Linked DNA regions of Caenorhabditis elegans. The protein of the gene in region 1 purifies or fractionates together with the protein of each later gene. This does not show direct contact. Each region holds a gene or a part of one and is shown in the gene's direction. Other genes may lie near its edges.

What was found.
Region 2: the proteins of C09D4.1 (region 1) and R10E4.3 fractionate together in Caenorhabditis elegans (co-fractionation; one large-scale study listed by BioGRID). This does not show direct contact.

The regions. Positions count from the first base shown.
Region 1 is NC_003279.8:5,496,114-5,500,987, forward strand, and holds the start of C09D4.1 (putative MFS-type transporter C09D4.1), read left to right. Parts: upstream 1-1,565; 5' UTR 1,566-1,803; coding exon 1,804-1,848; intron 1,849-2,736; coding exon 2,737-2,883; intron 2,884-3,056; coding exon 3,057-3,269; intron 3,270-3,772; coding exon 3,773-3,921; intron 3,922-3,971; coding exon 3,972-4,040; intron 4,041-4,874.
Region 2 is NC_003281.10:4,285,171-4,289,536, reverse strand, and holds R10E4.3 (uncharacterized protein), read left to right. Parts: upstream 1-2,057; 5' UTR 2,058-2,064; coding exon 2,065-2,238; intron 2,239-2,348; coding exon 2,349-2,630; intron 2,631-2,677; coding exon 2,678-2,783; intron 2,784-3,252; coding exon 3,253-3,510; intron 3,511-3,578; coding exon 3,579-3,676; 3' UTR 3,677-3,696; downstream 3,697-4,366. Other genes in the region: DNA replication licensing factor mcm-5, read left to right, coding at 1-35, 415-685, 732-1,153.

The DNA.
Region 1 (4,874 bases):
TCATTTTCTTACATTTTCCTCGATTATTAATATAAATTTTTCGGTTTTCTGGCAAATGCATAGACGGGCGAAACAATTTTAAAAAAAACTTTAAATAATTTCATAATGGCCCTCTATTTTTTCTTCCTGAGAAAATTTAAAATCAAAAAAAAATGTTCAACAGGCCAAAGAATTTCTTTTCATATATATCATAATATTGTAGTATTAAAAAGAAGTAAGCAGATTTGTTACAGTTCAATAAATTTTGGGAATTTTCAATTTGAAAGAGATTCCCATCCTTTGGTGATTTCTCTCCGTCTCTTCTTCTCTAATAATCTTTTTTACTTCTTTCCACACAATTACTTTATGACTTTTCAAAGTTTGTGACTCTGACTTTCTCTCTTTGGAATGGTTTAGTTTTGGTTCATACCGTACTTTAGAAAACAATTTATAACCCACCGTGAAATCACTAAGTTCTCAATCAAAGTCATAGCTTTAAAAATGTTTTTTTAAAATTTAAATATTTTTTGAAATATGTAGTGAAAACATAGAAAATCCTTAGCTGATAATATGAAAAATTGACTCCCATTTAACCGAGCAAAATTAGCATTGAAAATGAGTACCGATTTTTTTTTTTGAAATATTTACAAAAAGCATCTAGCCACATCTAGCCGAAAAACTCAAATTTTTAACTTCATAGGTGGTATATATTTGTTTCCATCATATGCTTCTTAAAGGGCTGTAAAACAATAAAATATCAAGCTTTAAAAAAAATTGTTTTTTGGAATTTTTTTAATATGAATTTTGCAAAAAACATGAGCGTCTTGACAGTAGTTTTCAATAATAGCCGCTTCGCGATTAAATTTTTTTTCAGAACTTATATTTCACTACTTTTATTTTCTGGATGTTTAACTTTTTCTTTCACATTTATAAATTCAAAATTTAATTTAGTTTTAATAATAAATAGATCCAAGTAAAAACTACAGTACTCCTTAAAGACGGAGACTCTTTTTGCAACATATGCTTAACATTTTTCGGTCGTGTCGAGACCGTATAACCTGGCTTTACATGAAACTGTTTGCGTCTGGGTAATATTAAAAAAAAAATAAATCTCCATTTCTGTAAATTGTACTCGACGTTAATTTTTGATTTATTGTTGTTTTTGTAATGTTTATATTTTGGAATGAACTTAAATTTGACAGTTGTTAAATTTTCTGTATTTTTTCTATACTCAATAATTGTTTTTTTTTTCATAGTAAAATTTGTAATACTTCCAGACGTTATTATGAACATTTTGTACTGAATCTAGTTTTTAAAAACTGATTTTCTGTCAAGTTTCCAAAAAATACATTTCCATAATTTTAGGAATCACAGTTAAGGCCCTATAAAGTTTTCTAAATGTAAGAAATCATTTTAACTTCCAGATTCTTCCGAATTTCTGAAGTTTTAAATAGAGAAACCATAATACAGGTATTCTAGAACAAGTATCAAAAAGTGTTAGTCACAATTTTCATTCATTGATAGAAAAGAAGACATAGACCGTTATACAAAAACAAAACCATGCGGTTTTTGTTTGAATTATTATTATTATTTCTATACTTTTCAAAAAGTTTTTACCATTAGTTTCCAATTTCATGTGACTTCTATCATTGTTTCAGAGTTCACATTCTGATCATTTTCAGTACATTTTGGAAACTGATGATAAACTGGTTGAATTACGCAGTCGACGATTTATTATCAGTTATTATTTTTTCCCTCGTGCTGCAATATTCTATACTATAGTTTATTTTTTGCTAAATTAATTTTTTAAAAACTCTGGAAAAAATGGGCGGAAAAGCTCAATTTATCCGAGATTTTATTCTTAAAGGGGTAAGCTTTCATTTTTCAAATTTTTTATAAAATTACATTAATTTGATTAAAAAATTGGAGAACTCACAAAAAATCTGAGTATTTAAATTTAAACTGAAGCAGCTTCTCCCGGAAAATGTAACCGCACCGAAGCGGGCTAATTTTGATCTGAAATTTTACAGTGTAGTTTTTTAATTATTTTCAATCAAATAATTTAGGAGTTTTGTAGTAGACAGGCATTCTGGATTTTTTATTGGATTTTTTCAAAGACTGAAATAATTTTTTGTAGGAATCTATATCGTCTTTTTTTTTTAATAATACAGTTTCATTTGTAAATACAAAAATTCGATAAAATGTTTTCTGTCAGACATCAGTGATTATCTAACTATCCTTTCTATAATTCAAAACTGATTGATAAATATATATAATAGATAAAATCTAATATTTGATAATTTGAAACGTTGCGTGTGACTTTGCGGGCTTACCTTTCATTGGAATTGAACATTTTTCATTTACTCGGTATTCTCAATAGAAAAAACTATGATCGTATCTAGTAAAAGTTCATTTTAACTATCGAATATTTGAAAAATGTGGCGGAAAGATGCATTAAGACAGGTGAAGCTTTTGTATTTTGATTTTTTTTTTTTCATAACTGGCAATTTTTAACATGAAAACAAAATGATTTTTTAATCTCATTTTCAAAATACTTTTCTTTTAGTTTTTGATGTTCTTGAAACTTTAAAATTTGCCTTGCAGTTTTAGAAACACACTTCATCTTATTAAAATTAATTTAATTCTGCAAAACGCAAACCAGCTTTAGCTAAAACATTCTAAATGTTTTGAAGTCAGTTTCCTTTCAGAACCCTTTGATTTTTCTTGTGAAAAAATATTCAATAAAGTATTTTTCAGCCTGTGAGAAGAACTGTACCAATAGAACCCGTTGAGCCTTCGACAAGTGGTTCAATTGCATGGACTAGCTCAGAGTCAGGCTCCGCCCATTCTTCGCGTGTTTCGTCTTCTCCCATTACTCCACGTAAAAGTGCTGAAACAGAAGAGGTCAGTCTATTGACTTTTGAACTATCAGACCACGCCCATTTTCTATTATGTAGGCTTCAACTTTAGTCTTAGCATCCAGTGCATTCAAATGTATTCAAATTTCAAACAAAAGCCATCAAAAAGAAAAAAATTATTGCAACACACATTTGTATTGTCCAAGAGGATAATTGTAGACCCTTCCCACCTGCTTAGTAAGAGCACGCGGCTCAAGCTCCGCCCACTCTTGCTCGGCGGCGACAACGAGCCAGCAGAGCAATCGTCAGAGCAAAGAGCATCGGATTGGTGGTATCAAAAAGGAGGAGAAGCCGATTGAAATGGGAGGTGGATCAAGTGAAAATGGTGGAGCCAATGGATGCTCCAATGGTGATAATCATCATGTCCTTTTAGTGAGTTTTTGTTTTCTTTCTAATTATTTAAATTTCAGAAATTATGTAAGTTCTATAAAATTCCAACAGAGTGATTAAAAAAACTTATTAACTGACACTTTTCTTTGTTTTCAAATAGAAAAAGTTTTCAAAAATTTTGCAAAAGATTTGAAAAACTCAAAAACAGTTTAGAATCTCCTTTTTGCTTCAAGCATTTCAAATAGGCATATAGTAGGCAGGCACTTTTTCTGCCTACCTGCTAGTTGATTTTTTAGAATTATTTTCTATGAATCTTGGCACAAACTCTGAGACTTTCTTTTTTCAGTTATTTGTTAAAATTTCAGAAAAAAAAAATCAATGTGAGCCGGGAGTAGGCGCGAATTTAAGCCTTAAAAAAATTTCCAGTATCAAACTACATTTATTTGCATAAATTCGGGAGCTCATTAATCAAAAAAGTTCTTGAAAATTCACAAATGTCTCAAGTTATTCCAAATGACGTACATTGAATATTTATTTATTTTTAGATGGAAAAACAAGAGAAAATTGAACCAAAAGTGTTCAGGAAACGATGGGTGATTTTGGTGATATTCATGTTTTTGTCCGGTTCAAATGGAGCACAATGGATTCAATATTCAATTATTGCAAACATTATTTCAGATTATTATAAAGTTTCGTAAGTTTATATTTTTCAGTTAAAATTTATTCTCAAAGTGGAATTTGTAGGTTTCAAGCAGTTGATTGGACTTCAATGATTTATATGCTCACTTATATTTTATTCTTCATTCCAGCCGCGTAAGTTACTTTTTTGAAAAGTTTGACTCAAAAATAGGGGGAAAATATGATTTGACTACGCTTTTCTTTTTTACTACATTGAAAAAATACTGAAAAAGAATTTCTAAAAATGTTTTATAATTAGAAAAATCTTAGTCTAAAAATGGATTCATCTCAAAATATCGCAATTATCTTCTCTTACGACCGCTCTAGTCTCTAGCGAAAAAAGTTTCAGGCCTCTGGTCTTCCGCATATACATAACTCCCACTCAATTTTTGGGATTTTTCGCATAAGAAATTTTCACTTAGAACGCTTTTCTCAAAAGGTTTTTAAAAATTTGCAACAAAAAATTACAAAAAAAAAATGGTTCAGTTCGAGTGTGTTCTTTTTCGGGATCGGGGGACAAAAATTTCTCAAGTGAATTTTCAGAGAAACCATTGTTATTTGTTAATATAATTAATTAATTATTTGTTAATATAATCATTTGTTTCGTTAATACAAACCTGTTCAATTTTTCAATTTTTCTAGAGTTTTGGCTTAAATTTTCGCGATCAACACTTTTATACTGCGTTTCTTTGTTAGGCTTCAAGTGATCAAAATTTAACCAGAAAACCGTGGCGCCAGTCCATCGCTAGGCGTTCATAGTCATAGGCTATAAGGTCTAGACACCTACCGCTGACCTCATTGTTCTCTCATTTCCATCTCGGAAGTGGATGTGTGTCGAAACGCGCGAAACAACCACGAAAAATACAGTTAACATATGTAACTTTTTGTCTCTACATGTCTACCTAGTCTCTTCATTCTTTCATACTATTTTCTACTGATGGCCTGTATTTACACGTATGGAGAGACAGA
Region 2 (4,366 bases), on another chromosome or scaffold:
TTGTGAAGGATACTCATGATGTTCTCAAAGATGCTGTAAGTTTCTGCAAGGATGCTCACGCACAGAAACAAAGAAGGGGTGCGCCTAGTGTGTCGTGATTAATTTCTGAATGATTTTACTGCATTAGCTTGCTTGCATGATTTTGGAACATTTTCGCTAATTTTTTTACAATTTTAACATTCGAAATGGGCAATATACCCCTGCTTTGCACAGAAAGCAATAATTTAAAAAAAAATGAAATCCAATTCTCTGCCGGGAATAATACAAATGAGGGGTATATTGTCCATTTCGAATGTTAAACATCTAAAAACCTTGGCGAAATCGTAATTCACAGTTGTGCACGGGTAGTACACGACGGCCGATTTTTTTGCCCAATAATTCTAAATTTTCAGCTTTAATTTTGAATATTTTCAGACCCTCGCGAAGCACGTCATCGAAGTTCATGTGAATGCATCTGCTGCTAAAGAACGTGATATTGCAGGAGTCCCAAAAACAGCCACAACTGATTCAGATGGTGTGATGACAATGTTCGATACGGATGGTTTCTTGACTATCGAGTTCCTCAAGAAATTCGTCACATATGCTCGTTTGAACTGTGGACCACGTCTTACTCCGCAAGCTTCTGAGAAGCTCGTTAATCACTACGTTAAGATGAGAAATCCAGTTGTCAATGCTGATGCTTTTAGTAAGTTTAAAATATCATTTTGTAATGAAAACCCATAAATTTTCAGAATCAGGAAAGAAGGCTCATAATTCGGCAATTCCGATTACCGTTCGTCAACTCGAAGCCATTGTTCGTATTGCTGAAAGTATTGCAAAGATGGAGCTTCAGCAGTTTGCCACTGACAAGCACGTCGAGGAAGCGCTCCGTCTGTTCCGTGTTTCAACAATTGAAGCGGCGGCAACTGGAAATTTGGCAGGAGTCGAAGGATTTACTTCAACAGCTGATCAAGAAGCATTGAATCGTATCGAAGTGCAAATGAAGAAGAGATTCGCAATCGGTACACACGTTTCTGAGCATTTGATTGTTCAAGACTTTGTTGCTCGTCAACATTATAGAGAGTCTCTTGTCAAGAAGGTTATCGATAATTTGGTCCGTCGTGGAGACTTGCAACAAAAGATGCAACGCAAGATGCTCTACCGTGTTCGATAAATTCTCAAAATTTTGTCTTTTTTATCTGGATCTCTTTCTCATACTCAATTCTTAACATATTTTCTCATTCAATTTGATTTTAAACTGTTCTAAATTATTAAATGAACGTTTGCTTTTTCGAAGACCTTGAAAAATAATCAAATTCTAGTTTATGATCGTGTCAAGAAAACACATCAGAAGATTTTCACCGCTCGTTTGCTAAATGATGGCATGCCTGCTTAAAGGAATATTTTTCCAAAGTTCTTCTTGAATAATTTGATTTTTGGCAAATGCCCCAACAATGGTGAACTTACTCAAGAAAATTTACTGATTCACCAAATAAACAAACAAAAATCACTTTAAGCCGAGTGTGAGGTTGGTAGCAGTAACTGAAAATTGTGGAAACCTAACCTAAAGGTAGTCTTCGACATAAGTTTCATTTGGAAGTCCGGGATTAGGTTGAAATACTTCCCTTGTAGCTAAGTACGGTATTATTGCAGGAGTACTGTAGGATTTGCGTAGTTTCGGAAAATTTGAATTTGAAAAAATGTTGCTATTATTAGGTTAGGGTTGGTGGTACTGTAGGGTTACTGTAGTTTGGGAAATTTAAATTTTTAGCATTTAACATGGGCCGAGAGTTGAGATAATGGCGAGGGTTTTGTGGGATTGCCTGGGTAGTTTGGGATGCATTTTAGCTTTTGAAGCGGATTTGAATATTTGGTTAAGATTTTGTGAAGACATTGTCGAACGAATACAATTACAAACGACACTTTTTCATATTCAGGTTGAAATGGAAATTCATAAATATTTATAGCTAAATGTTTAAAAAATAGATAAAAATTATATTTTTTCAAAATAAGAAAAGGACACGTTTTTTTTCTAAAATGTCCAATTTCAAAAAAAACCAAAAATTGATTTATTTTCTATCAAAAATGACATCGGCGTCGTCGCAAGAGGAGGACGGAAGCGAAGAAGATGAACATTTTAAGTCGATATTATTAATAATCATGTTTGGCGCACAATTTGTTTGCTTCTTAATCGCATGGTTTTGGTTTTACCCGAGAGACGAACCACCAAACAATCAAATAATGCATAAGTTGGAAAAGGTATTCGAAGATTTTCTTTCAGGCTCGTAAAATTTAATGTGTTGTGTCTGTATACTACACAGAAATGAAAAAGTGTGCAACCACCGTTCGAATATAATTTTTAATTTCAGGACACTGCAAAATCTCGAATAGCTGGAGGCACAGTTCGTCCGATCAGCCGTCTCACTTCCCGAGAAATCCGCTTTTTAGCTCATCATGACACGTGTCATGAACGTGGCTTTGAGCTGACAGAAGACGATAAAAAGTTGTTGAAACTGGCAAAAGAAGGGGAAATCAATCATTTGAAGCATGTATCCAAGTTATTCGATGATCTGACAATGAATTGTGGCAGTATAATTGTTAAGCGAGGCGCTTCGATAGAAACTAATTTTAATAATGAGACTATGGAACAGGTATTCATGAATTTTCTGATTGTTTTGGGCAATTAAATTATTTTCAGTTCGACAATGATGAAACTGCTGGAATTGAATATTTGGTACCGTTGAAACGATCGAAGGAAGAAAAGGAAAAGAAAAAGAAGAGGAAGACGAAAGAAAGAATGGATGGTAAGTTACCATATATTTTAATTTGCGCGTGAAATTATGTGCATTGAGTGTTTGCACACAATTCATGTGCAGACACACCATATTTCAAGAGCAAGTTCAAAACACATATAATTGAAATATGGAGCATGTTTCGATGCACAATATTACGGGAACAAACAATATCTCGGAGCGAAAACTACAGTAATTCTATAAATGACTACTGTAGCGCTGTCGATTTACGGGCTCATTTTCGATGATTTATGATTTAATTCATTTTGAAATTCGAGCCACGAGAGTAAATCGACACAATAGCTACAGTAGTCATTTATAGAATTACTGTAGTATTCGCTCCGAGATATTTCGCGCGTCAAAAATGTTGCGCAGTACGCATTCTCAGAGTTTTGTGTTTCCGTAATACGCGAGTGTGCGATTTACGCGGAAATTTGGTTTAATTGAGGTTTGATTAAGAAATTTGAAATTCGAATTCCAGCCCTGGACGAACTGACACGTGTCACTTCAAACGATCGAATTCCTCTGTTGTCTCGAATAGTTCACCACAACCAACCATCACGAAAAACACTGAAGCCAGCCACATCAACAATCCGTGAACGAACACTTGAAACTCAGTCAACGATGGAAGATGATAAAACACAATTAAAAGTGATCAGAAAACCATCGTCTAGACCACACAAGAAGCCATCCACAATGGAGAGTGCTGTGAAAAAGAAGAAATCGGCGGCAACGTTAAGTAAGTTGGGTTGAAATTTGACGGGCTCCTCTTCATTCGTATTCATTTATATGAATAATTTTTTGCAGAAACTGTTCGTAAAACGACACGGGATGAGCTGTCACTTGCAACAACGCTCGAGGAAACAACACGAAGCAAGAAAAATCCGTTGTCAAAGGAACCCTGATTTAATAAAAATTATTTTAAAACATGTTTTACATTTGGGCCTGTTTAATACCTTGTAGCGTGACAAGCCTGTAAAATATGGCCGTACCGATAAATTGGCAATTAGTCTTTCCCGTCTCTATTAGTATCGAACTTTTTCTTTTAGATGCTCCGCACTATTATTAACTCCAAAATACTTCAAATTTCTTTGATTCTGCGAAATTTTCTAATTTTATTATTTATTAAGAAACCATGAGTTCTTGAGAATGTCTACTTTCTGGCGCAAAAATGGCGGCAGCAGAGAGAACATGCAGCGACGAGAGATTTAGGAGCCTTCGCTACGAGATATTCCCGCGCCAAAACGGTAGGCATTCTCATGATCTCACGGTTTCTTAATAACTGTGTTCCCATTGTTTGTATTCTAAAGTTCTTGGAGTTCAAAAACCTGCAGAAATACTCAAACTTTTGAAAAACGTTGATTGAAAATTTTGAAATAAAATATGGAGAAATAAAATAGAAATTTTAAAAAAACCAACAATTTTTACAGTGTTCAATTCTGAAAATTAGTTCTGCTGAACTATGATATAATAAGTGTACTGAATATTCATTTACAATACGCTTTTAAGTGGTACCTAGATATATTAAGCTGCCGCAGTTACATAAAGTCTCATGTCAATCTTCTACGAAAATCAGAAAGTTTACAAACAATTGT